Notamacropus eugenii: one gene and its partners. The protein of the gene in region 1 purifies or fractionates together with the protein of each later gene. This does not show direct contact. Links are inferred from orthologs where the notes say so. Each region holds a gene or a part of one and is shown on either strand. Other genes may lie near its edges. The genes, in order: PLK1, ANKRD52, PPP6R1 and ANKRD28.

What was found.
Region 2: the proteins of PLK1 (region 1) and ANKRD52 purify together in Homo sapiens (affinity purification with mass spectrometry; 3 studies listed by BioGRID and IntAct, with this or other methods). This does not show direct contact. The link is inferred for Notamacropus eugenii from reciprocal best matches to the Homo sapiens genes PLK1 and ANKRD52.
Region 3: the proteins of PLK1 (region 1) and PPP6R1 purify together in Homo sapiens (affinity purification with mass spectrometry; 3 studies listed by BioGRID and IntAct, with this or other methods). This does not show direct contact. The link is inferred for Notamacropus eugenii from reciprocal best matches to the Homo sapiens genes PLK1 and PPP6R1.
Region 4: the proteins of PLK1 (region 1) and ANKRD28 purify together in Homo sapiens (affinity purification with mass spectrometry; 6 studies listed by BioGRID and IntAct, with this or other methods). This does not show direct contact. The link is inferred for Notamacropus eugenii from reciprocal best matches to the Homo sapiens genes PLK1 and ANKRD28.

What each region holds. Positions count from the first base shown.
Region 1 is NC_092872.1:81,487,040-81,494,424, forward strand, and holds the start of PLK1 (serine/threonine-protein kinase PLK1), read right to left. Parts: upstream 3,003-7,385; 5' UTR 2,709-3,002; coding exon 2,277-2,708; intron 1,818-2,276; coding exon 1,649-1,817; intron 795-1,648; coding exon 650-794; intron 1-649. UniProt on the Homo sapiens protein: Serine/threonine-protein kinase that performs several important functions throughout M phase of the cell cycle, including the regulation of centrosome maturation and spindle assembly, the removal of cohesins from chromosome arms, the inactivation of anaphase-promoting complex/cyclosome (APC/C) inhibitors, and the regulation of mitotic exit and cytokinesis.
Region 2 is NC_092874.1:231,520,047-231,527,913, forward strand, and holds the start of ANKRD52 (serine/threonine-protein phosphatase 6 regulatory ankyrin repeat subunit C), read right to left. Parts: upstream 3,001-7,867; 5' UTR 2,752-3,000; coding exon 2,725-2,751; intron 2,408-2,724; coding exon 2,324-2,407; intron 2,146-2,323; coding exon 2,067-2,145; intron 1,967-2,066; coding exon 1,896-1,966; intron 979-1,895; coding exon 778-978; intron 495-777; coding exon 407-494; intron 260-406; coding exon 117-259; intron 1-116. UniProt on the Homo sapiens protein: Putative regulatory subunit of protein phosphatase 6 (PP6) that may be involved in the recognition of phosphoprotein substrates.
Region 3 is NC_092876.1:17,896,454-17,904,414, forward strand, and holds the start of PPP6R1 (serine/threonine-protein phosphatase 6 regulatory subunit 1), read right to left. Parts: upstream 3,003-7,961; 5' UTR 2,861-3,002; coding exon 2,684-2,860; intron 2,664-2,683; exon of another isoform or gene 2,267-2,663; intron 2,253-2,266; exon of another isoform or gene 2,119-2,252; coding exon 1,886-2,118; intron 1,400-1,885; coding exon 1,213-1,399; intron 913-1,212; coding exon 775-912; intron 1-774. Other genes in the region: HSPBP1 (hsp70-binding protein 1), read right to left, coding at 4,542-4,616, 5,329-5,440, 5,530-5,626, 5,925-6,080. UniProt on the Homo sapiens protein: Regulatory subunit of protein phosphatase 6 (PP6). May function as a scaffolding PP6 subunit. Involved in the PP6-mediated dephosphorylation of NFKBIE opposing its degradation in response to TNF-alpha.
Region 4 is NC_092874.1:38,157,219-38,164,980, forward strand, and holds the start of ANKRD28 (serine/threonine-protein phosphatase 6 regulatory ankyrin repeat subunit A), read left to right. Parts: upstream 1-4,750; 5' UTR 4,751-7,075; coding exon 7,076-7,192; intron 7,193-7,762. UniProt on the Homo sapiens protein: Regulatory subunit of protein phosphatase 6 (PP6) that may be involved in the recognition of phosphoprotein substrates. Involved in the PP6-mediated dephosphorylation of NFKBIE opposing its degradation in response to TNF-alpha.

The DNA of each region.
Region 1 (7,385 bases):
GTAAGATAATCACCTCCTACTTCCTTACAGATTGACTGGAAGTGTTGCCTCTAAATGTAGCCCAAGATCACATTAGTTTTGGCTGCCACATTATACTTATGACTAATGTTGAACTTGTACCGTACTCAGATACTGAGAGAGTTTTTTCAAACAAACTTTGGAACCATGCCTCCATCATCTTGTACTTGTGAAGCCAATTTTTTGCAAGCAAGTGCAAAAGGTGAACGACCTAGGAAAATATCCTTCAGCTCCTGAGGCCAAGCCTAGGCAAAGGGAAGAAAACTGGTACTGGATGGAAGAGGCCCTCAGTGGGATGCCAGCATCAAGGGAAACAAGGCTCCATTCCCCCTGCTCTCTAAGGATCTTGTTTCAGATAACCACAATCACTTAAAAGCAATAGTTAACCCTTCCACCTGTCCTGCCCATCTCCTCACTGTCCCCAAAGACCAGTGTTCTTGAATATCTCACTGTCACTGGAATCTCATCTTCCCTGGATCATCTTTCCTTCTATTCTTCTCGTCCCTGAGACTAAATAGTTCTTAGGATAACAGAGAGCTAAAAAAGGAAGGCCAGGTTTTGCCTATTCATAAATGGAGGTTTGCCTGTCTCTTGGGTTCCTGATAAAGAATCCAGTTAAGCTACTACTCACATGATACACCCAATGGACCAGATATCCACCTCAAAGCTGTGGCCCTTCTTACTTAGCACCTCAGGGGCTATGTAGTTCGGTGTTCCGCAGAGGGTCCTCTTACGTTCACCATCATATTCTACTCTGGTTGCTAATCCAAAGTCACCTGTAATAAGGGTTAGGAAGCAAATCATTCTTCTTCCCAGGAATCCAGATTGGTTTGACCCATAGTCCCATGTAGGTTGTTACTGATGCCCACTTCTGGCACCTAACAGCCTGGGGCCTTTTCAACAAAGCTGGCCCTATTGTAGCCTACAATATAAAATATAATTTTTCTATCCCATCTCCCTAGACTAGGGTAATCTAAAGACCCAGAGAGAACATTACTACCCCTGCCTCATCTCACTGGGGGGATTGGGGGGAAGGAGTTATATCCTCCTTTGTATAATAGGTGCCTGTCTCCAAATTTTTTTGAAATTAGATCCAGAATTCCTTTTGTTTTCCACAGTAAACCCTGGACCATGTCTATGTTCCCTGGTTGCCCAGTTCTGTTGTACAGAAGAAACAAAGAAAAGCATGGGTTGTTGATTTTTTTCTACAGTATTCTTTTAGCTACCAACCTGTGGCTGCCCTCACCTCCCCCATCTCCATCCCTATCCTTTTCTAAAAAACATGGAGCTGTGCAAGGAAAATATGACTCTGGGCATACACTTTCCTGCAAGCATTTTAGGACTAAATCTTCTTCAATCTGTAGCTCTCTTGCATAAGGTTGTGCATTTAAGCATAACTGCTTACTTTTGCCAAGAGGAATGATTTAACAGCAAAGCCAAAAAGAAGTTTATAAAATTTGGCTTGTGGAAAAGGCTCCAGTCACACAGACTTTAGACTAATCCCTGGGACTTTTGCTTAAGGGTCTTTCCTGGACAGCCACACAGATTATTCAACGGGGAATTAGGTCCATTTAGGAAGTTACACTTCCTGTACAAAATCCCAGCTTGGTTAGGGGTTCCCCAGTCTTACCTATCTTCACCTCCATGTCATCATTGAGGAAGAGATTACCCAACTTGAGGTCTCTATGAATAACTTTATTTTCGTGGAGATACTGACAGCCTAGGATAATCTGGCGAAGGTAATACCTGGCCTCAGGCTCAGTCACTGCTTTCCTTCTTTTATGCAGCTCCAGCAAGGACTGTGGGAGGCAGCGAGAAGAGACACGCGCTAAGTCAAGGGGTCTCAGACTCTGTTATCGGGGTGGGGAGGGGGTCGTGTGAGTGGAAACCTTGCGGGGGGGGGGGGGAAGGGGGGGCAACAGAGCTACTCCACCCTAATGCTGCTTATGAAAGAACTCACAGGGGATCCACTCTCTCCCCGAGCCCCGAGGGTTCAAGACATGAACTGAGGCCTCGAACTTGAGAACTCAAGGGCACGATGGAACTTGGAGCCAGTTTCTGGGTTTAGCTGGGCCCGGCCCCCAACCTCCCGGGCTCTCGCTAGTGCCCACGCCGGTTCTATGGTGACCGCTTGGTGGGGAGATCGGAGAGGAAGCACGCCCCACCCCCAGTCCTTCCTGCAGGCCCTCCACCCCTCTGATAGCACCCCGGGGCACTAACGTCTCCTCGCCCGTCCCCCCCACCTCCGGGGCGCTCACCCGCCTCCGGCACAGCTCCAGCACCACGAAGACGAAGTCGCTGTCCTCGAAGAAGCCGTGGAAACCGACGACGTGCTGGTGGACCAGGCTCTTGTGGATATTGATCTCCATGGACATCTTCTCCTTCTGGTGCGGCTTCAGCAGCAGCGACTTGGGCACGATCTTGCCCGCAAACACCTCCTTGCTCTGCAGGTCCGAGAGCTCGAAGCACTTGGCGAAGCCGCCCTTGCCCAGGAAACGGCCCCGCAGGTAGCTCCGCCGGCTGCGAGGGTCCACCAGCACCTCGGGGATGTCCGGGGCGGCCGCAGGAGGGGCGGTCGCGGTCCCGGTCCCGCCGCCCGCTCCGGCCCCGCCGACAGCGGGCTTGCCCCGAGGCTCCGAGGAGCCCACGCCGGGCTGCCGCAGGGGTAGCTTCGCGGGCGCCGCGCTCATGATGCCGCCGCCGCCGTCCCCAGCCGCCTCTCCCAGCTCCGCCCGCAGCCGCTCCGTCCTCCTCCCGCTGCTTCTCGCCCGGCTGGACCTGCCCGGGTGCGGCGCAGCGGCTGCGGCTCGGCTCGGCTGGGCTAGGCCAGCTCCGCTAGGCCAGCTCGGCTCGGCTCGGCTCGGCTAGGCTCGGCTAGGCCAGGCCAGCTCCGCTAGGCCAGCTCGGCGGGGCTAAGCTAGGACAGCTCGGCTGCACTCTGCCAGCCCCAAGCGGCGCGGCTGCAGGGTCAGTGCAAGTAGCCCAGAATTCAAACCCAGCGCCGGGAACGTTACGGGGCGGTCCGCGCCGCCGATTGGCTGCAGCGATTTAAAATCCAAACCCGCCTACCGCGGGGCACGATGGGAGAGCCCTCGCCTCCACCACCCACTAGCCCCTGCCCCACCTGCGAAGGCAAGCCGAGCTTTCAACAAACTTTATTGACAGCGAGTGGGGGGCCGCTGTCAAGTTTGGTTGTCCTGGGAAGCCTGGAGATTGAGCGTGCTGAGCGTGCTGCACCACGGAGGAAGAAGGAGGGAGGGAGAAGCGATCTGTGGCAGTGACTGGCCTGGGAAGGACCCCCAGGGAGGAGGAAATCAATTGATGATGGACCACGAACCATCCAGGAGCTGTCTGTAGCTGAACAAGAATCTCCTTTTTAGTGTTACCGAGTGGGCGCTTATGTATCTGTGTATATTTGCGTGTGTATATGTGTGCATTCATACGTATGCATGTATGTGTATATGTGTATGTAATGCGTGTGTGTGTGTGACTCTGGGCAAGTCACTTAACCCTGTTTGCCTCAGTTTCCTCATCTCTAAAATGAGCTGAAGGAAATGGCAGTATCTTTAACATGACAACCCTAAATGGGTCACAGTCAGACAAGACTGAAGGATAAAATATGGTGGGGTACAGACTCTGAGAAGCTCCTTGAACTCTGCTTGAATCTTCCCACTTAATCTGGACTTTATACCCAAATCTATGACCCTTAACCTAGCCTAGCCCATCTTCCATTACTTCCCACTCAAGCTCTCCATAGTCTGATACCTCCCAATTGCCTCCAGCTGTTTCCCACCCTTCATTACATCACTAGTTACCCTAGTTTCTTCCAGATCCTCCTTAGACTCTCCTCCCAGACTACTACACCACCTCTAGATCTTTCCCGCAGACTTTCTCTATATAAATTCCATCTCACCTCCATGAAGGGGCTCAGATTCAATCTAGCTTTGACTGTCTAGCCAACTTTCTATTTGGCCCACTTGTTAATACAAGCATCGCAAATGGCAAGGCTCCTTAAGAGTCAATCCAACATGGCAAACCTTTAATAAACTTTGCTTTACTTTTGCTAGAAGAAGTCTTGAGTCGAATTCATTCGGCAGGAACTGGCTTGTCCGTATTTTGGGGTCCTGAGTTCCCCAAACCTCATGGTTCCCAAACCTCAACAAATACATACATGCATATACATATATATTTATATCCTCCTCCAAAGGCGAAACAGTTTTACTTTTGCATAACTCTATTTGCTAGTAAGCTTTTCTTAAGATGGGGAGTATATCTGCCTCTCTATAACTTACACTCACTGGTTTAGTTCTGCCCTCTGGAGACAAGCAGAACAAGCTAATTCCTTTTGGATACAACGGTCCATGATACAACGGTCCTACAACTACTTGTAGGCAGCCATTTCTCCGGTCTTCTTTCCACTCGCTTTTCTCTCCCATCCCACCCCAGTCATTTCTTTGCCATTCTAAATATACCTCAGTTCCTTAAACTCCACTTTGTAAGACAAGGACTCCAGTACTTTCACTAACCCCTTCTTAAAATGATGCCTTTTTGTTGAAGAACCTTCAGGGGCTCCCTAATAACTCTAGGATTGGGTGTGGAATATAGAAAAATCCTTCACTACCCCTGTAGCAAACTTATTGTACTTAGGGTCCAGTCAAATTGGTCTAGTTGCTCTTCCCCAGACTCGAGGGTCCCATTTTCAGTCTTCAGTGCCTTTGTATGAACAATCAAATAAGTTCATCCCACACACTCAGAATGCACTACTTCTTGAGCTGTGACTTTTATAATCCTTGATTTGGCTCTGTTCAGATGCTGCCTCCTACCAGAAGCTTTCCTGATTCCCCCTGGCTGTTACTGATTTCTCCCTCCTTAAGTTTTCAAGTATATAATCGGAGAGGTATTGGAACAAACTCATATTTGCTAGAGAGAGCGTCATTTAAAATTTTCCGTGTGAGCATTTACATCTTGGAAATCAGCAAGTGCAATGAATTAGAAATTTATTGTTTTGTTGATTTCTAGACTTTAAAAAAATGAAGAAAATAATAATACAAATTAGACTGAAAAATGTGTCTTGGAATCCCAAAATATTCATGATGAAAAATGCTTTCCCTTTGAGAAAAAGAACAGATGGCATCTAATACAGACCAAAGTGCACTATTTTTTCACTTTCTTTGCTTCTTTCATTTCTTTTTCAGGTTCAAGTTTTCTTCCACAAAATGACTAATATGGAAATATGTTTCACATGATTGTACATGTATAACCTATATTAGATTGTTTACCGTCTCAAGAAGGAGAGAGGGAAAGATAGAATTAGGAACTCAAAGCTTAAAAAATATAGAATGCTAAAAAATTGTTTTTACATGTAATTGGGGGGAAAGTAGAATATTATTTGAATTTTTAAAAAATGTGTCATGCTTACATTTTTCCAGAAAGCTGGAAACATTTACAGACTACAAGGTGAGTCTTACCTTACAGCTACAAACATTTCCAGAGAGCTAAACATTTACCAGTACAATCCTGCATCTAATTTATAATATGTAATATATTAATTATTAATATATTATTATATATAATATAAGTTTCTTGAAAGCAGAGGATGTTTATCATTTTTTTGTTTTTACTTCCACTCAAATAATTTACTTTATATTGTTTTCTACAGACATACTTCATATTTGCCTTGCTTACTTGTACACACCTTGTATCCTCTCAATATAGTCTAGCACTTAGCACAGAGTTGGCACAGGGTAAGGCACTTAATAAGTTTTTATTGACTGACTATAGGAGAGTTGGAGACCAACTCTAGGATCTAATCACAGAAGTTAAGGCACCATCATTTCTCAAACATGGAGAAATGAGTCAAATTTTTAAGAATACAAGGCATTCCTCAGTTGTTAAATGGTCAAAGAATATAAACAGGCAGTTTTCAGATGAAGAAAAAAATGCCCTAAATCACTACTGATTAGAGAAATGAAAATTAAAATAACTCTGAGGTACCACATCACATCTATCAAATTGGCTAATATGACAGAAAGGGAAAATGATATATGTTGGAGTGGATGTGGGAAAATTGGGACACTAATGCACTGTTGGTGGAGTGGTGAACAGATCCAGCCCAAAGGTATCAAACTGTGCATACCCTTTGATTCAGCTGTATCACCATTAGATCTGTATCCCAAAGAGATCAAAGAAAAAGGAAAAGGACCTACCTATACAAAAATATTTATACCAGCTCTTTTTGTGATGGCAAAAAATTTGGAAATTTAAGGGATAACCATCAATTGAGGAATGTATGGTATATGAATGCAATTGAATACTATTGTGCTATAAGAAATGAGGAGCAGATGAATTTGAAAAAACTTGGAAGGACTTACAGGAACTGATGGAAAGTGAAATGAACAAAACCAGGGCAACATTGTACACGGTAATGGTAACATTGTATGATGATCAACTATGAATGACTTGGCTCTTCTCAGCAATACAATGATCCAAGAAAATTCCAAAAGACTCATGGTGGAAAATTCTATCCACAACCAGAGAAAGAACTGATGGAGTCTGAATGCAGATCGAAGCATACTATTTTCATTTTTTAATGTTTTTTTTTCATTTCTTCTTTCCCAATATTGATGGAATCCTAATAGAGCTGCTAAATCAGCCCCAATATTCTAACTTCCTTATGGGCCCCACTAAACAGCAGGTATGGCTTGATTTGACCATACAATCTGGCCTTAATCATACCATAGGTCCTCAAACTCAATCATCGGCAGACCTGCTGCCTCTAGCTAGCCACTGCATCCAGACTCAACTTAGCCACTGCCTCTAGCTAGCCATTTCCCCTAGCCAGCCATTGCCACCAGACTTAATCCTTTAGCTAGCCTCTACCCCCAGATGCAATTCACATATTTTCCACAGAAACAGGTATGTCTATGCACTCAACCTCAACCACATCATCCATCTTGACCAGACAGGACCACAATAGTTAGCCAATCAGCAGCACTGCCAGGATGTAGAGCAGGATGTTTGACCACCAAACCATAGAAGGGGCCCTCCCTAAGATAGCACCTTCACAGTAATAGTAAAGAACTGACCTAGAGTGAAGTTATGGTGTAGAGAGGATTATTATAATTTCATTATCATACGTACATGCTCCCCTTTACCCCCTTTGGATTTTTCTATATGTACTGTCGGTAACTGCATACAAAGTTCCACCCAGGCTGGGAACCCTCCCCTATTACTTAATCTCTTAACAAACCCCCTCCTGCCTTTTAAATATTAATCATATTCAAATATTCTATTTAAATTTTTATTGTGCAATCAGCATCATATACACTATAAAATTGTCTTACCTTACTGAAGTTAATTCCTCTAAG
Region 2 (7,867 bases), on another chromosome or scaffold:
CCTCCCCAGTGCCCATAGATCCACCAAACCTAAGCTTCCTTATGCTGACCTTATCTTCCCACATAACCTCTTCTACAGTTCTTAAATCCCTAACCTTAGTCTCCCAACCCCCTGACCTCAGCCCCTAGCCGTAGCAGGTGCTTGACCACATCAATCTGGCCATTGGCAGCAGCTGTGTGGAGCAGTCCATAGCCCTTCCGGTCCTTGCAACTAGGATCTGCACCCCGGGCCACCAACAGCTTCAGGACCTCCAAATGCCCTAAAGCAGGGGAGGGGAATGAGATAAGGCAAAGCTAAAGGGAATGGAGAATAAACTCTACTTCAGGTCCTTTACCCCAGAATTCTCAAACTCTAAATTATGCCTATGTAGGCCAAACATTTTCTTTGCTCCAAGATTCTTCCTCACCTAAAAAGGCTGCCCAGTGTAGTGGCTGCCGCTCCTTTTTGTCACAGACGTTAAGGCTGGCCCCCTTGTTCAGAAGCAGGTTCACCATCTGTGTGAGAACAGGGGACATTTCCATTTAGAGCCTGGCATAAGTCCCTTTCCACCCTTCCCTATCCCCAGCCATCTTATACTAAAGCTTCTCCACTTTCTCAGGAAACTGAGGAGAAAACTGATATATTGCTGAAAGGACCATGGACAGGGACTAATGAGAAAGCAGAGACTAGGAAAGGGAAAGGACCAGGGGATGGGCATGGAAAACCAAGCCCCATAACCACAGTGTCTGGATGCCCCAGACAAGTTATAAGCAGGCAGTGAGGGAGTGGAATCCATACCTCCAGGTGCCCACTGTGCACGGCATGGTGCAAGGCACTGCGCCCGCTTCGATCGGCCACATTAAGGCTGCTCAGCAGCGGGGCCAGGGCTTCAGCACATTTGGTGGCCCGGTTGGCAGCAGCCACATGCAGTGGTGTCTGCCATAGCTTGTCCCGGGCATTCACATCTGCGGAATGTGCTAGGAGCAGCCCCAGTACTTTCTGTTAGTGGCAATTTATCAGGACAAGAAGAACAAAGAACAGGAGGTGAGGGGATGATTTGGCATGGGTGCCTTAACTCTAGAAATGAGAACAGCCTCAACATCCAGTAAATACAGAATCCCTTCTTCCCCACAATCTTACTCCCGGTTTCCCTAAGAAAACATACAAACCACCTTAACACCAACTGACAGTCATCTGAATAGAACCTCTATCTTTCCAGGGTAAACACAGACCCGTCCTCAAGCCAAATTAACTTCATTCTCCCAGTCTTAGTAATCTTAGTACCCCTTACATCCTTTCCCCAAGCAAAAGTAAACATCCTAAAGACTCCTTGATCCTCCCTACCCCCATGGGAATTCCAGGAAAAATAAAGCCTCCCACCTTCATGTACACACCCACCTTCAACCCTTCCACAACCACGGAAATCAATCTCAATAACAAGCTAAGAAAACAGATGACCTCCATCCCCATTCCCTGGTCAAAACCTAGCCAGCCCCCTACCCCTTAATATATCAGCCTCAGTAACTCCTTCTGAGCACTGTGCTGTGACCTCTAGGATGATGGCTCAAGCCAGGAGAGTACCAGGGTAGCCCTGGGAGGGGCCCTCTCCTGCTCTTCCCAGGGCTCAAAAGGGGAGCAGGCTCTAAGGTGGCCCCTCAGGGAGAGATGAGTCATTTAGGCCTGGCATTGGAGCCCCCTGCAGCCTGCCAGCAGAGTGCTAAGCTGCCCCTGACGTCAAATCAGCTGGCAGAGCTCAGCCCCCCATAAACAGCCTGCCCAGAGGTCAGGAGGGAGGAGCCAAGATCTGACTTTCCTCTCCAGATGGTACAGGAGATGAGACTCTAGAGGAGGATGACAGAGGAATAAGACTTCACCATCCACCTCATTAGAAGGCAGAAGGGCCCAGCTGAGCCTACCTCATTCCTAGAGGCAGCAGCGCGATGTAGGGGGGTCAGCCACAGTGTGTCCTTAGCATTGACATTAGCACCTGGGGACAAGTAAAGAAGGCATGTGGGGAGGCTGGGCTTGGGGACCAGGAGGAGGCATCAGAGAGCCCCACCTCGCCGCGCCCTGGCCTCCTCTCTTACCTGACAGCAGTAGCAGTTGGAGGATGGGGACATCTCCTACATAGGCAGCAGCATGCAGAGGGGTTCTTCTCTCTTGGTCCTATTGAAGGGAAGGGCCGCGCTGGGTCGCGCCGACCTGACACCCCGGTGCCCAGCCCTCCATCCCGCAGGCGGGCACAGGGGGAAGGTCGGACCCCCGCTCCGGCCCCCCCTTCTCCCTGCTGGGCGCCTCCCCCCGGGGCGGGGGCGGGGTGGGGGCCCGGCGGCCCCCCGCTCACCAGCACGTTGATGTTCTCCTTCTGCGAGAGGAGGGAGCGCACTTCCTCCACATCCCGGCTAAAGATGGCCTGGACCAGGGGCGGCTGCGGGGAGAGAGCGGCGGGCGGGCGGCTCAGGGGCGGGCCGGGAAGCGCCGCGAGGGGCCCGCCGGGTGCCCTGTCACCGCCGCAAGGGCGGCGGGCGCGGAGGCGGGGCCGGCCGGCCCTGCGGGCGGGCTGGGTGTGCGCGATGCGGGGCGGCGCGGGGCGGGGCGGACCGGAACCGGCCCGGGGGGCCGGGGGGCCGGGGCGCGGGGGCCCGGGGCCGCGGGAGGCCGGGGCGCGGGCTAGGCCTAGGCCGCACATCCCCGAGCTCGCGTGGCGGCAGCGCCCGGCGGGCGGCGGGCGGCGCCGTCACTAACCTGGTCCGTGATGCTGAGGATCCCCATGGCCCGGCCCAGGCTCCGTCCGCATCGAGCTCCCGGCGGCAGCGGCGGTGGCTCCACCGGGGACACGGGGCAGCGGCGGCGGCGGCGGCAGCAGCAGCGACGGTAGCGGCTGCTGGGAGAGCGGGGCCCCGCCTACCGGGAGGCGGGCGAGCGGGAGCCGGCAGCACCCCCTGGCGGCCACACCGGGCCCCGCAGCTCCGGCCCCCCGGACCTCCCGCCAGGGCCTGCCGGCCCCACCGCCGTCCCGTAGCACCGGTGGCGATCCGACCTGGCGGCGCTCCGCCCCCTGGCGGCCAAGTCTGGCTCCACAGCGCGCCGCAACCTACCCTGCAGCACCCCCCGGTGGCCGGATCTAGCTCCAGCTCCGACTGTCAAACCCAAGCGCGCAGCTCCCCCTGCTGGCCAAAGCCTGACCCGCAGCGCTCCCCAGATCTGAAAAGGGATGGAGAAGTGTGGGGAGCTCTGGAAATTCAGCCTTCTAGGGTTTAACCCTGCACAAGTGTAGTAGTCACGTGGCGCAGCATAATTCCCGAACTGGAAGGGAACCCAGAAGCCGTGTGGTCCAGTCTCTTCATGTCACAGAGGGCCTGAGGTCAGTTTGAGCCTGGATCTCCCTTGCAGCCCTCCAGCCCATTCTGCAGAAGGGAGAACCGAGGCCCACGCTCACACTGCTGGGAACAGAGCTGGCCTTCCAGCTCCAGCCTCCGGCCCCGCGTTAATGCTTTTCCACCGAACCGCGTCCCCCAGGAGGCAAGCTGAGAAGAGCGCTTTACGAGAGTGTAGTCTGGCCAGAGTCAGGACGCGCCCCCTTCGGAGAAGTACAAACACCCCCAGCCGCTGGGCCACACGTGTTCTGCTTACTGCCTGGGTCTCTGCGCAGAGGACAGAACTCCGCCCCATTGCATTTACTTCTGAAATGGGTTACAGCCGATGGACCAAGACACGTCCTCGCCCGCAGGACTCCGCAGCTGAGCTGTGTAGGGGCTGGCCGAGAGGGCAGAGTACAAGAAAGCAGCCATCCTCTCCAAGGCCTTCGCCTACAAGGGCCAGGGTCTCCAGGGTCTCCACCGCCCCCTGGGCCATCTCCAGCCGTCCTGATGAATGTCAGGCCACCGGACCCAGATGGATCAGGAGAAGAAGGTGAGGCTGGTGACCTCGCACAGCCCTCCCTCCCTCCCATTAAAGTCAACTGAAAGTCATGTCATCATCTTCCTGATGTCATGGTCCTTTTTAAGAGCAAAGGACAAACACAATTCCACCAACATATAGGAAAGGTACCAGACTGAATCCTGATGGGGAAATTCAAGAAAAAAAATCACTGAGTAATTTTTCCAGCCAAGGTTGGTAAAGGAGAACAGAAATACCTTTTGAAACTGGGAATAGGGTCATAGTGCAGAGCTGAATGCAGGGATTGAATAAGGGCTAGTGACTGTCCACTAGGGCGAGAAGACCTCCTGGATCTATCGCAGAGAGGTCTGATACTGTCCAAAGAGCAAGGACACATGCCAACTGGAAGGTCTGTCCCTCATATTCCAGAGCTGGGTCATAGATCCAGTGCACCTAAGTCTCAGGTCCAGGACCAGCAGTTGCGAGCTGAGGTCCTGTAGTAGAGAAGGAGCAGGAACAGAAGCAAACAGCAGCTATGTGGTTCTGACCCTGGCAGTACAATAGGATCTCAGATTCTACCTCCAGACCAGTCTGAAGATAAAGGAGAGCCTGCAATTCTATCACTCTGAATATGCATTTTTTTTTTTTGATTGCCTATAGTAGTTGAGTTCTGCAGCTTTCTACAGGAGCTCCAACCAGGGCCAAGTACACAGTTGTGTTGCTCTGACCCTAATTCAGATTAGGAGGTTGCACAACTCAGAGAACAAAGAAACCAATTAGGCTTTGCCCTGTATGAAGGCCTTAACACAGTCTAAAATTCAGAATTAAGGCTAGATTTCAGGAAGAATGAGCAAAGAAAAATAGATTCTTACCACAAAGAGCTTTTATGGTGATAGGAGCACCTAAGACACAAACTGAGAAGAGAATGGCCCCAAAACATCTACATGTATAACCTAAAGTAAAACACAACTTGGGCACAAGTTCAACTAGAATTCCTACAAGAAATGAGGCAAGGGGGTTGTTTTTTCATGTGTATCTTTTTAAGACTCACAAGATTATTTTATAAATGGAAGTGTTAGAGGAAAGAATTGGAAAAGAAATGAGAGCTATGGAAGAACATCTTAGAAAGAGAATTAACAACTTGATACAAGAGATACAAAACTTACCTAAGCCACAAAGTACCTGAAAATTAGAATGGGCCACACAGAAGTTAATGACTCCATGAGAGAACAAATATACTACAGGGCTGGGTCCTAGTTGTTGGGGAAAATGTTTTGCATTTCTGTTCTTCCTATGTCTTCTTACTAAGTATTCCTTTGTAAAAGTTAATTGTTGTTAATTTATTAAATGATATCAAGGATACACTGGAACATGGCTCAAGCCCCTAGTATTATTAGGAAGATACCTACTTCCTCTTCAGAGGTACCTTTAAAACCCTGAGGGAAATATATACCTGGCAAGTGCTCTGAGGACCAAACTCTTCAGTGAAGGTAGGAGTTGCACTAACCCTCCCCCCCCCCCCAAGGTATACAAAGGCCATATATACTACGGGACCTTTATATTGTATTCATTTGTGTATCTTTTTGATATGTGTACATCCTAACTCTTTGATTAGGTTATAATCATCTTATGAACAGGAATCTTCTCAGTTTGACATCCAAGATGCTCAGCACCACAAGGATGTTTTGTATGAACTGTAAATTGTTTTGTATAGCACCTACCATATAAACATGTGTAAACAAACTGATGACATGCTTATGATGATATGGAAAACAGCATGGTGTGGTAAAAAGTACCTTGAACTCTAGTGGATTCAAGAGACACAATCTCATCTCCATAAATTCCTCGCTATGTTATCCTGAGCACATGACTTGGAATCTCTGAGATATTTGATTTGCAACATGAGATATTTTGACTAGATAATCTCTAAGATACTTTTCAGTTCTTAACAATTTATCTAGTGATATGTAATGAAGAGTTTGAGACAAGAAGAGGAGTGTATGGAGTAGGGTTAGGGGAGAAAGGACAATTTCCAGAGGAGAGTTATATCACTAGAGGACTGGCCCAAAGATATGGCCCAAAATAGCCCCTGGGAAATATGAGGAACACTAGTCAGAGGATGAACACAGGTCACATGTTTGGGTCTGGGATGGGGTGAAGGTGAATAGAAGGCACTTACTGGGTTCCATGGGCAGCTGGATGAAGAGAAGGAGTTATTTTTATCATCAAACAGCACAGGAAGGAGATTCCCCAGTGAAAGAAAAAGGAACATAAAATAGTAAAGACTGCTTTTTTTTTTTCCTGAGCCCAATAAAAAGAACCTAGGGAGGGAGGGCTAGTATATGGGAGTCAGAACACTCAAGTTTGAAACTTTAGGCTCAGAGAAGCTAGAAAAGATTTGTTTCTAGAGACTGGGTTCTATGTCAAAGTTAGAGAAATAGATCTCAAGTGTTTTGCTTTTTCTGTGCCTTGGTTTTCATTTAGTTTTTCATTTTTTGATTTAATAAATGTTTTTGAGATTCTCCTGTGTGCAGAGCACTTCATTTGTTGTGGGGGAAAGATGCAAAAGAAATCAGTTCTATAATTTATAATCTTTTTGAGGAGATAAACACATAAGCAATAGAGAATTCCTTCAAAGTGAAACATAAAATTCAGTTAAAATAACATAAACCTTAAAAGAAAGCATTGAATGATGATATAAGACTGAGGAAATCAAATTGGAGTAAAATTAATCAGAGAATGCTTCTTGGAGAAGAGGAGTTTTGAATCAAGACGAAGTGGTAAAAGTGAATTAGTAGAGAAAGGACAGGAAGTTTAGGAGTGAAAGCACAAGAGGCAATAATTAGCAAATATCATTTTTTGGGAGGATAGTAAGTTAAATTGACCTGGCAGATCTACGGGGAGGTAGGATCTAAGGAAATCTGTGGTAGTTACATCAGAGTACAACGCAAATGAGGATATGGGTTCAATCCCATATCCCAGTTAATTTTGTTCTGTTTCATGACTAGAGATTGTGCCCCAACCCCTTTATGCCTGATCAGGAGGGGCAGGAACCTAGCCAGACAAGAGGGCATGGACTGTGGGCCTTCAATGCAGCAAGTCAATCCTTTTACATATCCCCAATTGATTCACTATCTCATGAATCACAGCAGTTTTTTCAAACCTTTTCATCCCTCCTTGAACCTTCTATAGCTCCTCCTCTCCAACGCTCTCAACTGAAAACCTTTGCTTATATTTTGGAAAAAAAAATGAAGTCCATTCACTAAAAGCTACTTCTTCTCCCCCCATCTCCACCTGCCTTCTGTCTCTGTAACTTTCTTTCCTTTCACTCTCTTTTCAGTTCTTTAGAGTCTGGCTTCTGACCTCACCATTCAATGGAAACAGTTTTCTCCAAAGTTATTGATGATCTCTTAATTGTGAAATCTAATGGTCTCTCAATTCTCCTACTTCTTGACCTTTGACACTGTCAGTCACCTTCCTTGATACTCTTTTCACTAGGTTGACTTTTCTCTAGTCAACAACATGACTTTTCTCTCTCCTAGTTCTATTTATACTTGTCTAATCACTCCTTCTCTGTCTCCTCGATCTTCATCCAGGTCATTTCCATGAAAGGGGCCATCTCCAGTGGTCCTGATCTAAATCTTGCCACTGGATCCAGATAGCTCCAGAAAAGAAAGTGAGACTGGTGACCTTGCACAGCCCTCCCTCACTTAAATCCAATTCACCTTCAAGTCATGGCATCGTCTTCCTGATGTCATGGTCCTCTTCAAGAACAAAGGATGAACAACACCCATTAATCACTGCTCTGTCCTGGTTTTTCTTCTCTTTCCCCTCTATACTATTTCACTTGATCTCATCATCTTCCATGGTTTCAGTGCAGATTATTCTCAGATCTACTTATCCAACTCTAACCTCTGACCTCCTGTCTCACATCTCCAATTGCTTTTTGGATGTCCTGTAGACATTTTAAACTCAATATATTCCAAACTGAACTCATTATACTTCCCTC
Region 3 (7,961 bases), on another chromosome or scaffold:
AAGAATTGGCAGATGTTTCACATGGAAAAAGATGGGGGGGGGGGGGAGCTGAGTGGGCTCCCAGTTCCACAAGCCAGTGATTTGAAGAGGGGCTGCAGGAGAACTTAAGAAGCTAAAAGGAAAAACCTCAAGAAATACAAGAACACTGACCCTTAAGCACATGAGGGGATGCTGTCCTACAGCCAGAGCTGAGACCGGAGGTTCAAGGGGCTCCACAGAAGGGAGGTGGCTTCCTCTCCTGGCCACCCCCCCAACCCAGGACCCTAAGATAGGAAGGGTATCCCCCTCACCCTGCTGCGGCTGGAATAGAGGCTGGTCAAAGCAGAGCCAACAAGAGGAAAGGTAAGGAAATGCCAAAATATCAGCAGTCCCAAGCTGGAAGGGACTCCAAATGTCAAGATGAGGGATGTGACCCTGACTCAGAGAAAAAAACAGGGCCCCTAAAGGGACCATAAACCATCTACTGCTTCAGAGAGGTGGGGCTCCACCAGGGGGCGCTCAAGGGCAGCCAGGGGAAAGGAGGAATCCTGACTGCTAGAGGGAAGAAAAAGGGGAAGGGAGAAAAGAGGAAGATGAAAGTAGAAGGGAAAGGAAAAGAGGAGAAAGGAGGAGGGAGGAAAGAAAAGGAGAAAAGAAAAGATGGGGAGTAGAGAGGAAAAGAAAAGAGAAAGCAAGAGAAGAACAGAGGAGAGGAGGAAGGGAAGAAGGAAGGAGGGGGAGGGGAGGAAGAAGATGGGGGAGGGAAGGGGAGAAGGAGGGAAGGGGAAGGCTCACATTGAAGACCTCCTGCCTCAGCAGGGGCTGCTCCACACACGTCAGCAGCCTCAGCAGCAGGTCCATGATGGCCGATGTCCCGATGTGATGGAGTAACAAGGGAACGAAGTCAGCCTTTTTGCGCAGAAAGGCCACGATCTGAGAGGAGAAGAAACCAGTTGGCTAACCCCTTCCACCATCACAGCATAGGCCTTTTGCAGGGTGGGGCCCCTCCCCCTCCAAGGACTCTTCAATCAAGGCCATCGGCCCCCACCCTGGCAGCTTCTCCTCCAGAGATCCTTCCCACCTCCTCTAAGGCCCCCTAAGGGGCAGGCACTGAATCACTTGGGCACACCCTGGCTGTCTACTTCCTCCATGTCTCCCCAAACCAGAACAAGCAGGCACTTCTTTAATCAAGGTCTGAGTCAGAGGGAGCTCCCCAGGCCCCCAGAGACCTACCTGGTCCGTCTTTCGGTTGATCAAGATCCCCATGACCTTGCTAAAGAAACTGGCCAGCAGGGGGTTCAGGGGGGCTCTGTTCTGTAGGAAAGCATAGAGGCGGCCCAGAAGAGCCTCATCCTCCCCAAGAGCATCGTTGATCTGAGGGACATCCGAGGTCAGGATTTCGCAGGACACACTGGGGTACCTGGAGAAGAGGCAGCTGTCAGGCTCTGCCTAGAGAAAAACAAAAATCTACAGGTACCATCCCGCAACCTGGCCACCTCTCTGGACCTCCACTTCCCAATTTGTAAAACAAAAAAGCACTCCAGCTTAAATTCAATCAAAGGTTCTTATGCTGGGGGGGGGGGGGGGGGCGGTGCCAGAGGGAACAAATCCAGGAGACCAAAACAAGGAGAATAATTAGTGACACCCCCCCTTCCCTCACAGGGGTTCCTTGTACACAGCACTGCATGCTTCAGGATTACACCTGCAGAGAGAGGGCCTGGGGCAGGATGGCCCAGGCCGGGAACAGGATAACCAGCAGGAAAAATAACTGGGTGTGAGATGAGGGAGAGTGATCCAACAGCGTGGCCTGAGCAGCTGACACAAAACCAGCACTCGGACCTGGGCCCTGCCCTTGTCCTTCTACAGGACACAAGAACCAGAGGGAGATGAGGAGAGACGGCCTCACTTGTAGCGAAGCCGCTCGTCACCGGCAGCTGGGGGCTCCCGGGTGACCCAGTCCACGAGGGCCTGCAGATGGGCTGGCCGCAGCAGGAAGTCCAGCAGCTTGGGGTGCAGCACCTTACACTCCTGCAGCACATCCTCCTCATCCAGAAGCTCGGCCAGAGCCAGGTCATCCCTCTGCAGCAGCGAATCGATGTGCGAGCTGGTGTGCAGATCAAACTTCCAAAACATGGCGCCCTGCAGAGGGTGGTCAGAGAAGAGCCTGGAGCAGGTGGGGTGCAGGAGGGGAAGCCCAGGAAAATCCGGCTGCAAGCTGAGAAGGTAGCCCCCACATGGAGCCCAGCTCTCCCCGGGTGTTCTGAACAAGGGGCTCCCTCCGACTTACCCCCTAACACAGGGTCTCCTGGGGAGCAGCCTTCTAAAGGAGGCCAAGAGGGAGCTGGATGGCCACCCTTGAGAGCCATGGGCCCCAGTGGGGGGGGCTCGCAGGGCAAGAGCCACGAGAGCTCCGAGCGGAGGGAGGCCGTGCCAGGGCACAGGCCAGCAGGCCCCCCTGCCCCCAGCTGGGCAGCAGTGCCCGCTGCTCAGGTACTACGAGCAAGGCCCGAGAACGGTCCACGCTCGCAACGAGAAACGCCCTGGGTTCAAATCCCGATCCTGACCGAGCTGTCCGAGCCTCCAATCCTAGACCACCGACCCAACAGGGAGGCTTCGGGCAGGGGAAAGGGCCATCCCCCTGCCCCGAGGCCGGCGTGCTGCGCTGGCCCCAGGGGGGCTCGGCGGTCATCCCCGAGCTCCTCACCCCAGGGTGCCGGCCTGCGCGCTGGATGTGCCCCTCCCAGGAGCCCAGAAATGGAGCGGGGGTCCCCGGCTGTGCAGCCCAGGGACGCGGAGAGGGAAAGCAGGGAAAGGAGGGGCGTTTCCAATGGCAACCGGGGAGGAACAAGCCGAGGAGGCCGTGGGGGGGATTTCCCAGCATCCCCCAGGAGCCCTCCCGTCCAGGGTTCGGCCCGGGCAGGTTCCCCGGAGGGCGGGGCCGCAGTCACCTGGCACCCGGACACCCTGCCCCGCCCCCCAGCAGGGGGACACGCCCGGTCTGCGCCCGGGGGTCTCGAGCCCCGCCCCTTCCCCTCCTCCCCCGGGTTCGTTTCTCCTCCGCTCCCGCCCTCTCCCGGAAGACCCCTGCGGGGCCTCAGTCTCCCCCTCCGCGCAAGGGGCGGGGCAGGGTCACTGACCTGGGCGCGCGAGCAGCGGCAGCTCCGGCCTCGGGCACATCGGGGCGCGCGCCGTGGGGAGGGGGCGGGGCGGGGAAGTGGGCGCGCGCTCCCGGCCCGCGCAGGCGCCCTGAACCTCTGCGCGGTGGGGGGAGGAGGGGCCGCGCGGTAGGGGGGTAGCAAGACCCGCGGCGGTTTCTCCCCCCCCCCGCCCTCCCGCTCCTCTTTCTCCTCCCGCGGGTGCGGGACTTCAGGGCCGGGCCGGGGCTGCGGCTGCTGCTCTGCTCTCGCTCTTGCGTCCGCCTCGGCCGCCCCTGTGTCTGCGTCTGCAGCCTCTGCAGGGAAAGCTCGAGCGCAGAACTGAGAGACGGCAGCAAAATGGCTGGCGCGCAGGCGCGACAGAGAAGCCGCAGAGAGGGCGGGAAGGGGGCGGGAGCTGGTGCGCAGGCGCCCTGAAGCTAGGAGGGGGAGGGGAGCTCACGCAGCCGCTCTAGAAAAGCTCCGCGGGCCCGGGAACAGGCTCACGCGCAGGCGCAGGGGGAGGGGGAGAAATGGCTGCGGAGCTGCCGGAGCCCCGCGACACATAAAAGAGAGCCCAAGGGGGATGCCCCTCCCCTCCCTGGTCCTGCTTCGGCGGCCCTGGAAGGCCGCAGGCAGGCGGGCGGGTCGAATCTTTGTCCTCTTTCTTCGAGGCTTCGTGCCGTCTGTCCACTCACGGTCCCCGCAGCGTCCGTCTGCCCTCCGACCCGCCCGCCTGCCTGCCGCAGCAAGCCAGCCCTCTCCCCTCCACCCCGCAGTCTCCCACAATCCCCCGTGGCGAGGACCGGAGAGCTCAGCGCAATGCAGTGCAAGCCCACCCCTCGCAGCCCATGGCCTCCGTGCGCACGCGCGCCCAGCAGGCAGTCTACCCCCTCTCGGCCTGGCTTCACCAAAACACGCGACTGCGCTTGCGTGCAGGAAAGGCAGCCGCTGCCCCACCGCCTCGGGGGGCTTATAAAGCGGCACTCTCCTGCTGCGCAGGCGCTCTACGCCCCTGTCCTGCTCCCTCACTCCCGCCCCGCACCTCCACCCCCTCGGGAAGTGGTACGCATGCGTACGCGTTCGTCTCTCCGCCCCCGCCGGGGCTGTGTGTCAATTCCCCTCTACACCGCCCCCCCATCCACAATGCTGCCCCCCCCCTCCCCGCCCCCCCGCCCCCGCACACAGACGCGGCACTCGAGGGGGAGGAAGAAACAGCTTTATTGCCAGGGCAGAGCCAGGAGCGGGGCGGGCACGCACGGGAGGGGGCGGAGGGGAGGGAGAGCAGGGGGCTTCGCGGCGCCCCGGGCCCGGCGCCCAGGCTGCCTCCTCCCCGCCTCGGGTGGGCGGCAGGCTGCTGGAGAGGAGCCGCCGGCGGGGCGGGGCTCCATGCTGCGGGGCGCGGGCCCCTGGGTCCCTCCCCAGCCTTCACCGGTCCATGCTGTCATCCGTGGGGGAGGAGAAGCACGCCTGCAGCAGCTTTTCACAGAATTCCAGCTCCTCCTGGAAGGAAGCGGGAGGATCAGGGCTGAGCCCCCCACCCGGGAGCCGCTTCCCTAGGACCCCACCTCAGACCCGGGGGCCAGCCCCGGCCTCTTCCACCTACCCCCCTGCCCCCCATCCTGCTCTCGCCCAGGCTGACCTAGGGACACCCGCAAGACCACAAGGGCTGGTCCCTTCGGGGCCCCTTCGCTACCCCTGACCAGGGCCAGGCTGGGATGGGTAGGGAGAGGCCTCGGGACATTCTAGAACTCCCTCAGTCCAAAGGCTCATGCACATTATTAGCTGCCCCTGATCTGGGCTGTGCCAGGCTCTGGGGTTTTCCCCGGCCTCCCCTCTGCCCTTCCAGGGCCGTGCCTGGCCCCTCTGGTTCCTGGTACTCTCCTAGAGCTTGGGGTCTCTGCTCATCTGTCTCCACATCTCCACTTGAGGACAACTTCCCAACATCACAGAATGGGAGAGCTGGAAGGCTTTGTGAGGTGACAGGAGGACTCCTCATCAGGGCTGGGGGCCCCCCTACGGCTGAATGGCTGGCACTGAGCCCAGGGCTGGTGCAGTGAGGAATGATGCACACATGGGCCTCATGCCCCCAATGAGGAGAGAGCTCTTTTAGGGATAGGCTTCTGCCTCCCTAACCCTGGGCCTAAACCCCTGCCCACAGCCCCCTAGCCTGCTCCTAGGAGCCCAAGGAGAAGCAGCAGTCCCCACCCCTTACCTGGTACTCCTCATGCTGCTGCAGCAGCTGACACCGATGTCGAAGGAGTTCCTCCAGCCCCAATTCAGGCTCCCGGCATTCCCGGATCCCTTGGGGGAAATCTGTCACCAGCCTGTGGAGGGGGATGGCCAGGTCAGCACAGCCCCAGCTGGCCCCAAGATGCCAGCCTCCCACCCTGACCACCCCTAAGATTCCTCTCACCTGCAAAGTGCCCCCAGTACATGCTCGTGGAAGGGGCTGTGCTCTGTTCGGATCAGAGCCACCAGCTGCTGAACCATTCCCATGGAGCACAGGGTGCCTGAGGGTGGAGAGAAGACAGGGTCAAAGAGACATGTCCCCCTGCCTGCCCAGGAGTGTGAGGCAGGTCTTTCTAGAACCTAACCCACTGCTGACTAGCCTTTGAGGCCTACCCTCCCTCCATGATGGGCTCCAAACTGTCAGTCTGCCCCACCTCCCACAGCTTTCCCAGAAACACTAAAATCTGTTCTGCATTTTCCTGCTTTGGCTCCCACTCTCCCACTCTCTGCCTGCTGGTGCCCAGCTCCAAAGGTGCCTTCCCTGTGTCCCCCCATGCCTCCCCCTTTGCCGCCCCCCACCTTTGTGCTCAGGATGGCCCACCAGCAGGTTCTGCAGGAGGAAGGCCGACTTCACCTTCAGCTTCACCACATCCTTCTGCATGGCCCGCATCAGCACCGAAAAGCCATCTAGGCGAAGGAACTGGAGCAGGCCAGCTTCCTGCTCCCGGACCAGGCCTGGGGGCAGCAACAAAGGGTCAGGCCTTTGTTCTTCAGATACCAGGACAGCTCCCAGAGAAGGGGATTGCCATAATAAGCATTAATTATGAGAAGCATAGGGTAACCACCTACTATGTGCCAGGCACTGGGCCCTGCCCTGTAAGTGTTCACAATCTGAGGGCAAACAATCTAAGTAGGAAAAATGTGAAGAGAATGGGCACAGGACTGGGGGAAGCCAGCAAGGTCAGCGGTGGAAGTAGAGAAGGGAGAGGGAAGGCCCACAGCAGAGATAGGACTGGGAGGATGTGTGTGGGAGGAAGATGGAAGACCAGATAGCAGGGAGGGGGCCAAGCCAAGCAGGTCATATTTGGTCCTGCAGGAGGTTAATGAGTAGGGGCTGAGATAACATGGTCAGACCCAAGCTTTAAGAAAATCCTTTATGTGGCTGAATGGAGGATGAATGGGAGTGGGGAGAGACCAGAGACAGGCAGCCCCGCCCAGAGCAACAGCCCAGGGGTGAGGGGCTGCACCAAGGAGTGGTTGTCAGAGGAGAAAACAGGCATGTGGGGGAGATGTGGCAGAGGGGAAATTGACAGGCTTTGCCACCATACTGAATCTGGGAGGAGGGGGAGGGAGTGAGGAGTCCAGGATGACCCCCAGGTTGGGAGGATGGGGGTGCCCTCGATAGTCATAGGAAATGGGGGGAGGGGTTTACAGGGAAAGGTAATAAGTCCTGTTTTGGACATACAAACAGCTGTCACTTTTATGTAAATTCATGTTATCCAAATTTGACTTTATGTGAAGAATTCTGAAAAAAAAAAAATCTACATTCCCAAAAAACCCCTCTGTTTACTTTGCTGTACATGCTGTGTTTTCTGTCCACCCCACAGCCTCCCATTCCACCCCCACAAAAAAAACCCTCCAAGTGAAAGCAGAAGAATGGGCAGGAAAATCCCCCACCCCAGTACCAAGAGAGGAAACTTTTGCCCTGCTCTGCCTACCCGGCCATGTGTCCAGTCCATGTGTCTGCCATCAGTACCGCTCAGGTCCTGCATATCTATCTCTCCAACCTCTCTTGTCTAGACCATGTCCATGCCCCCTCCATGCCCCTGGGTTCTTCCTCTTGGTTCTCGCCAGGCCCCGCCCGTCACATGCTCCACCTGTCCCCTGCCCCCTCAATGCAAGGGCACACAGTCCCCTTCCTGCCTCCATGCAAATTTGCATGACATAAAAATCGATTTACATAGAGGTCTGGGGTCCCCTTACAGTTATACAGGAAAATTCTACATTGAGTTTAAGATATCTAACTGCACATTCAGTTGAAGATGTCTGAAAGGCCATTGGAGATGCAAGATGGGCAGAGAAAGGGAGATCTGAGAATCGTCAGGATAAAGATGGTCATTAAATCCATGGCAGCTGATTAAGGAGGACAGGGGAGAAGAGGAGCCAGGACAGATTTGGAGGGACACCTCTGAGGGTCTGATCTGGTGGAGGATCCAGCAAAGGAGGCAGAGAAGGAAGGAGTGGTCAGAGAGGAAGGAAGAGAACTGGAAGAGAGTGATCAGGCTGCAGCAAGAAGGACGAGGAAAGAGAAAAGGTCACTGGATTTGGCCACTAAGAGATCTTTGGTCACTCTGGAGAAAGCAGTCTGGGTGGAATGATGAGGTCACAAGTCAGAAGAGTAGGAGGAGGTGACAGCCTTTTGGGGGAGTTTAGCCACAAAAGGCAGGAGACATGAGGTCATGGACAAGAAGTCCAAAGTTACAGATAACAACATCCCATGGAAAGGAGGCAGAGGGGCTTGGAGTCCTCTTCACAGAAGGCACCATGAGGGCACCAGGAGAATTAGGACTTTTCGGTCCTGCCTACACTCCCAAAGCCTTGGCCCCACCACATCCC
Region 4 (7,762 bases), on another chromosome or scaffold:
TGAGTGAGAGTGTGTGTGTGTGTGTGTGTGTGTGTGTGTGTGTGTGTGTGTGTGTGTTCTTCTGGAATAATGGTTAGTCACTGTGTTGGTTAAAATTGATTATCTTTACAATATTATTGTTGCTGTAGAAATTTATTTTCTGACTGCTCACTTCACACTGCATCAATTATACAAGTCTTTCCAGGTTTCTCCAAAACTACCTTCATTATTTCCTTTAGCACAGTAGTATTCCATCATATTCATATACCATAACTTGTTCAGCTATTCCCTAATTGATGGATGTCCCCAGGGTTTCCAGTTCTTTGTCACTGCAAAAGGAGCTGCTATAAATAATTTTGCACCCATGGGCCCTTTTTCTTTTTCTTTGCTATCTGGGTGTAGACCTAGTAGTGGTATTTCTGGGTCGAAGGATATTTACAGTATAATTCCAAATTATTTTCCAGAGTGTCTGGACCACGTCACAGCTTTACGAACAGTGCTTTAATGTACCTGTTTTCCCACAGCCTTTCCAGCATTTGCCATTTTCATTTTTTGTCAGCTTTGTCAATCTGATAGATCAGATGTAGAACCTCAGTTTTAATTTGCATTTCTCTAATTCTTAGTGATTATCATTGTTCAGTTGTTTCAGTCTTGTCCAACTCTTTATGACCCCATTTGGGGTTTTGTTGGCAAAGATGCTGGAGTAGTTTGCCATTTCGTTGTCCAGATCATTTTACACGTGACAAAAATGAAGCAAACAGGGTTAAGTGAATTGCCCAAGGTCACATAGTAAGTGTCTGAGGCAGAATTTGAACTCAGGTCTTCCTGACTCCAGGCCCTTCACTCTATCCATTGCACCACCTAGCTGCCCCAAAAGAACTTCCTTTGTCTTATCAGTATTGTTTAGTCGTTTGAGACTCTTTGTGTTCCCATATGGGGTTTTCTTGGCAAAGATAATTGAGTAGTTTGCTATTTTCTTGTCTGGCTCATTTTACACGTGAGGAAACTGAGATCAACAGAGTCGCATGGCTAGCTCGCAAGTGTCTGAGGACACATTTGAACTCAGGTCCTCCTGATTCCAGGCCTGATGCCCTATACTTTGCCTCCTAGATTCCCCTTTTAGTGGTTTAGATTTTTTTTTTTATGTCAGTTTGATTCTTGCTCTTATAAATTTGAGTCAGTTCCTTATATATCTTGGAAATGAGATGTTTATCAGAGAAAATTATTAGCAAGAATTCCCCCTCCACACACACACACACACACACACACACACACACACACACATTTACCTGCTTCTCTTCTAATTTTAGCTGCATAGGTTTTGTTTATGCAAGAACTTGAACATTTTATCTTCTTTGACCCATTTCTATTTTTTTTGGTCATGAACTCTTCCTCTCTTTATAAAGTTGCAGGTAATTTTTCATATCACATCATCCTTTATGTCTCAGTCATGAATTTGGAGCTCATCTTGTAGATGATGTGAGATGTTCTTCCATACCTAGTTTTTTCCAGTCTATTTTACATTTTTCCCCCATAATTTTTGTCATAGTGAATTTTTGCCCCAAAACTGGGATCTTTGTATTTATCAGATACTAGGCTACACTACATTTGCACTGCATATTGTAGGCGATCTATTCCACTGATTAACCTATTTTTTTAACCAGTTGTTTGGATGTTTATTACTTTATAGTATAGATTGATATCTGGTTCTTCTAGGTCCTTTTCCTTCAGATTTTTTCCCCCATTAATTTCCTTGAGATTTTTTACCTTTTGTTCCTTCAAATTAATTTTTTATTGTTTTTCTAGATCTATAAAGTAATCCTTTGGTAGTTTGGTATGGCGTTGAAAAAGTAAATTTAGGTAGTATTGTCATTTTTATTATATTGACTCAGCTTAAAATGAGCAATTAATATTTCAGTTTAGATTTAGATTTATTTGCTATTTAGATTTGTATTTGTATAAAGAATATTTTGTATTTGTGTTCATATAGTACCTGAGTACTATATCACTAACTTTTGATTAACGGGGATGACCTATTAAAAGGATATGCTGTTGTGCCAAGCAGTTTCTGTTTAGTGTGGGATATAATAGAGAACCACTGGAGTTTGGGAGGAGAATACATTGGGGTGGGGAGAGAGACTTGAGGCAGACAGACTAACTAGAAAGCTTTTGCAGTAGTCCAGGCAAAGGGTAATGAATCATGCATTAGGTTGTTGCTTGTGCTAGTGGAGAGGAGACAGATAATGAGAGATGTTCAAGAAGAAATGACAATATTGGGTATTCGATTAGATATGTGGGGGCAATGGGAGTATCACCGAGGTTGGTGGCCATGAGGATGGTGGTAGTCTTCAAGTGTAGTAGAGAAGCTAAGAAGCAATGAGTTCTGTTTTAGACACGTTGATTTTGAGATACCTAGGGGCCTTAAGGTTGAAGGTGTCTAAAAGTCAGTTGGTGATAGGAGACTAGAGCTTAGGAGAAAGCAAGGGATGTCTGTAGATCTTGGAATCATCTGCATAAAGATGATAATTGAGCCCAAGGGAGCTGATTGTGATCATTAAGTAAGGTAATATTGAGGGATAAGAGAATAAGGTCCACCAGAATAGGGTCATGCTTAGTGGTCATGACCTGGATGAAGACTGACAAAGCAGTTGTGGCTAGACAAGAGGAGAATCAAAAGAAAGAAATGTGGGGTGGAGGAGTAGAAAAAGCAGTGTCATTACAACCTTGGGAGAAGAGAGTATTCTTAACAGTGTCAGGTCCTGCAGAGAAGTCAAAAAGGATGAAAACTGAGAAAAAAGCCATTCACTTTGGCAGTTAGATCTTCAATAAGTTTGGAGATGGAAGTTTCAGTTTAATAACGAGGCTGGAAACCAGAATGCAGAAGGTTTTAGAAGAGACACGAGAGGCAAGAAGCATAGATCATTTTCTCATGGAGTTTAGACCCCCCCCCCAGAAGGGAGGAAAAATAATGACTCCTGTCAAGTATGATAGAATCAGTGGAGGTTTTAATGATTAGGGAGACATAGTAATAATAGCTAGCAGTTATATGTGCTAAGCACTTTACAAATATCTCATTTGATCATCACGGCAACTCTGAGAAGTAGGTCCCCATTTTACAGTTGAAGAAACTGAAGTACATTTGAGGTTAACTGAGATTAAATGACTTAAGATGTCGGAACGATGTGAGATGAGGAAGAGGACATAAGGGGGAGCTTATTGGTGAAGTTGAACTCAGAAGGAGGGGTGGGATACGTAAGGTGAAGTGGAAGACTTGATGAGAGGCAATGTTTGGAACAGTTTCTCTGGAGAGTGGGATATTGAACCAATTGTAGAATAATTGTCTCGATGTAGTAAGGGTCCAGTTGAGATTGTGTAACAAATGGTGGTGGATCTAGTCAGCAACATTGGTGATTTTCCTGAGTATGAAGTGGCAGATGGTGGGAGTTTGGCTTGATCAGGAGTAGGAAAAGAGAAGAGGATAGTTCACCAAGGGTTAATGTAGAAAAAAGAAGGGAGTGTAGCCAGTGGAGGGATTAGAGCCTAGGAAAGAACTGAGGGATAAAGAAAATGGTAGTCATGGGGAGGCTGAAGAAGAATGTTGGGGTTGTAAGGCATGGGATGGGGAAAGATGGGTATGATGAGATGAAGACATTTCTGAGTTAATATGGACATGAACCACTTATTTTGTGATAGCCTTATCAAGGTCACAGTTGACATGAAGGAGTAAGTTGGTCTTGGGAATTGAGCACATGATTTTAAGGTGCTTGAGGAAGCATTAACCAATATGTATTGAAGTCTTCAGTTTGAGGGCTGGAGTTGTGGAGAGAAAGATTATGTAAGATTATGAAAGATTATTTAGTCAGGCAACTCATTAGGGAAGAAGGGAGATTGTGAGGGGTAGGGTTTGGAAGGATCCAGATTGGGGGATAAATTTGGAAAGCTTGTACCTTCAAGAAGAGGTTGCTGAATGATGATAGTAGAGGGAGAGTCTGAAAGTGGCAATGAAAAGCCAGAAGTCTTCCAGTTCCCTCTCAGAGCAGGTTTTGAGGTATGAATTGTCGTACCTTGGGGTACAACCAGGTGGGAGCATGTGTGTTCCAGTCGCCTAGTAAGAGAGTAGAAGGGGTGGTGGAGAAAGACTCACTGAGGAAGGAGGGAGCATATCCTGGGAGCAAATTAAATAACACTCTTGATTGAGGTACACATTTGGAGGGGTAGTAAATAGAGCCTGGACCTGGACTCAGGAAGACCTGAGTTTAAAACCTGGCCTCAGATAACTTTACTTATGTGACCGTGGGCAAGTTACTTAACCTGTTTGTCTCAATTTCCCCAAGTGTAGAGTGGTGATAATACTATCTCTCAGGGTTGTTTTGAGGATCAAACGAGATGATATTAATAAAAATGTTTGGCACAGTGCCTGGGACATAGATGGTACTGTATAAATGCTTACCTAACTCTTCCTTATTCCCATATTTCATCACTTGAAAGTAAGGTAGTACAGATTCTTAAGACTTTGCCCACATTATGTGAATGTCTTCATATTGAAATTTTATGTGATACTTTGAATTGGAAGATATCTTAAATAGATAACCTAATTTCTGTCTTTCATTTCTGTAATAAGCGGAGAGGCAGCATGGTGTAAGTCCTGCTTCCTAAGCTGCTATATAGAAGTATCTGACCGACACTGGTAGAGGGATAGTGCCTGTTTGCTAATATGCAGGAATCATGGATTAATATCAGTAAGAAACTTGTCTCATATGTGTATATATATAATATATATACATATATACATATGTATGTCAGTGAATAGAAGAATTTCCAGAAATTTTTTTGTCATATCTTGTTTTGTACATAGTTGTTTGCATATTGTCTCCCCCATTAGACTGTGAGCTTCTTGAGAACGGGGTCTATTTTTTTTTTGCCCTTTTTTTATCTACCCCCAGCGCTTTGCATAGTGCTTGGCACATAGTAGGTATTTAATAAATGCTAGGGGAAGTACAGCTACTTTTAGATAGATGTGAGTCAAAATGATAAATTTACAAGAATCACAGAAAACTCATTCATTTAAGGTACTGATGAATGTGGTTAGCTGAAGTGTATTATCCCTATTTTTTTTAATGAAGATACTGAGATGTAAGGAGGTTATACACTTACTAGTACTATCTAGCTTGTAGGAAAAAATGATAGTTTTGGTTTGAAATTTCCTGAAGAATATTTGTTGCCTTGTAATTATCAAAATTGTCTTTCTAAATAACAAAAGTTTAGCCTAAGGATGTGTCTGTCTAGGCAAATGTCTGTATTTGGTTGCAGATTTTCTCTTATCTCTAAATCCCATCCCAGTACACTGATACCAGTTTTGCCAGGACGTCTATTTTAACAATTCTGGTTAGCATGAAAGGGTTAAAGTGGCTTCTATACAGTAACATATGAAAACAGTTAAGCTGTTTGGAACTGTTTACTTGCATAAATGGATGTTAGTCAGCAGAGGCAGTATACCAGGATACCAGATTTCTTTGTGGCTTTTAGTGGAAAATGTTAAAAGCACGCTCATTTTTCAGCTAAAGAATTTTTTAGTTTGATCTGAATTAGTCACAGAACTGGCATGGGCATTCTAATTGTGAAGACTTTACAAATGTGGCCCTTTTTGGGGGGTGGCTAGAGGAAGTTACATCCTGAGCAGTGGCTCAGTTCTGTGGTAAGTGTAACATGTGAGCATTACTAGGCATTTTATCCTGCGGGTCTGCAGTCTGCTCTTCAGACTAGGCTCAGTCGGAATGCTGCTGTGGGGCTGATTTTTCAGGTCCTGTGGTTGATTTTTCGTCTTTCTTTTTAATGATCAGTTCATTCAAGGGGTTTGTGGCTTTTTCAAAATCATCTACTGAACACAGAAACATCTGAAATCTACTAAAAAGGCTAGCAGTGGAAGGAAGCTGGATTGGCACCGACCCAGATGTTTGAATAAAAGAGTAGTCGGAAAGAAGATGCACGGAGGATTTTTTTTCCCTTGAAGGAGGACTGTATAATGGAAGCTGGATTCATGCAGAGATCAAAGGAAAACACTCAAGTGATAAACTACTTTGTAGAGGAAAAGGTCGAAGCAGTGATTTGAACAGTTATTTGAGCTTCGTAGCTTCTTTAAACCGTTAAGATTTTATTTTGCTAATACCCTTCTTGTTGTGGGTTATTTGCTAGAACAGCCACAGCCAACTGCTGCTTGATGGAGGAGGAATGAGGGCTCTGCATTGCCTGTGCTATTGATGAAAATACAGCTCTCTGCATGCTTGCCGTTTGGGAAATCTCGATTGAACAGGCCATATTCTAACACCAAGAATTTTCTTATTGTCCCTCGTGACCTGACTCATTGCCTGTAAATGTATTGCAGCTTTGCTGTTGATGCAGAAGAGTGGGTTTATTTTTTAAACGTAGAAAGAATTGTCAACCTCTGAGCTCCATGTTCTGAATTTGTGCTGAGCACAGATGAATTTTTTCTGGAGTATATCAGCATTAAGACTAGTGAAACTGAAGAAATGAAGGTTTGACTCTGAGATGGAGATAGAATAGTGAAATTTTAAAATTTGTTTTGATCAAAGAAAGCCAGCTATACGTGACCAAATTGACCTTGCCCGAATTGAGGATAACTGGGATAGACTCTGTCACTGCAGTTGCTTCTCCTTTCAGTCAATACAAAGTGGTGTCATGTCACCCCAAACAATGACCTCTCTGTGCTAACAAAATTCTGCTGTGAAGACAAGGGATACTAAAAAGGCATAATTTTTTTAAAGGATAATTTTTCAAATGAATTTAGATTATACCTGAGATTAATTTACAAAGGTTTTGTTTTGGGTTTTACTAATAATTTATGTAGTAAAGAACTAGTGACTTTGAACAGAATAATAGGACTTGGCAATTTTAGAGATGTTTCAAAACTGTAGGGGGTCAGTCACCACTGGAAAAACTGAAGTTTAAAATTAACTTTTAAATGCCAGCTGTAGTACACAGAATGTTCGCAAGTGTGTACAGAAGAGAAAGACATACTCCCTGTGCTATATCAACTGTAACTTTTGCTATATAGTTTGAAATTTAGTGTTTTAAACGAATGAGTCGGGTGTGTATTGTTGTTTTGGAGGAGATAGAAGATGAATCTCCAACATTTGTTTCCAAATTGCCTCAGGAAAATAAATTCCTTCCATCTCCAGCTTCTGGAAATGCATTGGTAAGATGTGATAGTTTCTTAAGTATTTTTGTATTCTGGTGTAATATGAGTGATTTTTTTTTTTTTTTGCTTTTTAATAATAGACTTTTTAGTCATTTATGTTTTCAGTTTGCAGTAATATCTACCATGTCAAAATGTAAAGTGAATATGTTTCTGATATTCTTGGAAGATGAAAAACCTTTGAGATAGGACAAAGGCTGTATACTTTCAACTTTAAAAAGGAAAATTAACCTTATGATTTATAATATGATTTCAGTCTGACTGTAGATTGCCTATAGCCTAGTGAATATAAATATATTTTGTCTTTCACTTCCTTTCTTTCCGTGTCTAATCTGTAGTTTGTGAAATTGAGGTATCAAGTAAGAACTGGGAGTTCTCCCTGTTTTAGGAGAGACTGACTGCTACTAGTAAAACAGAAGGCCTGGCATTTACTGTAATAGCTTGTATATTGTTTACATGTACAACTTTTATCTAGTACTGTGTTATCTTTAGCCTTGTTTTAAAAGCTGTTGTCAACTCCTTTAGAACATGATATCCTATCATAGATACTTATGCTGTTGATTAGGAAAC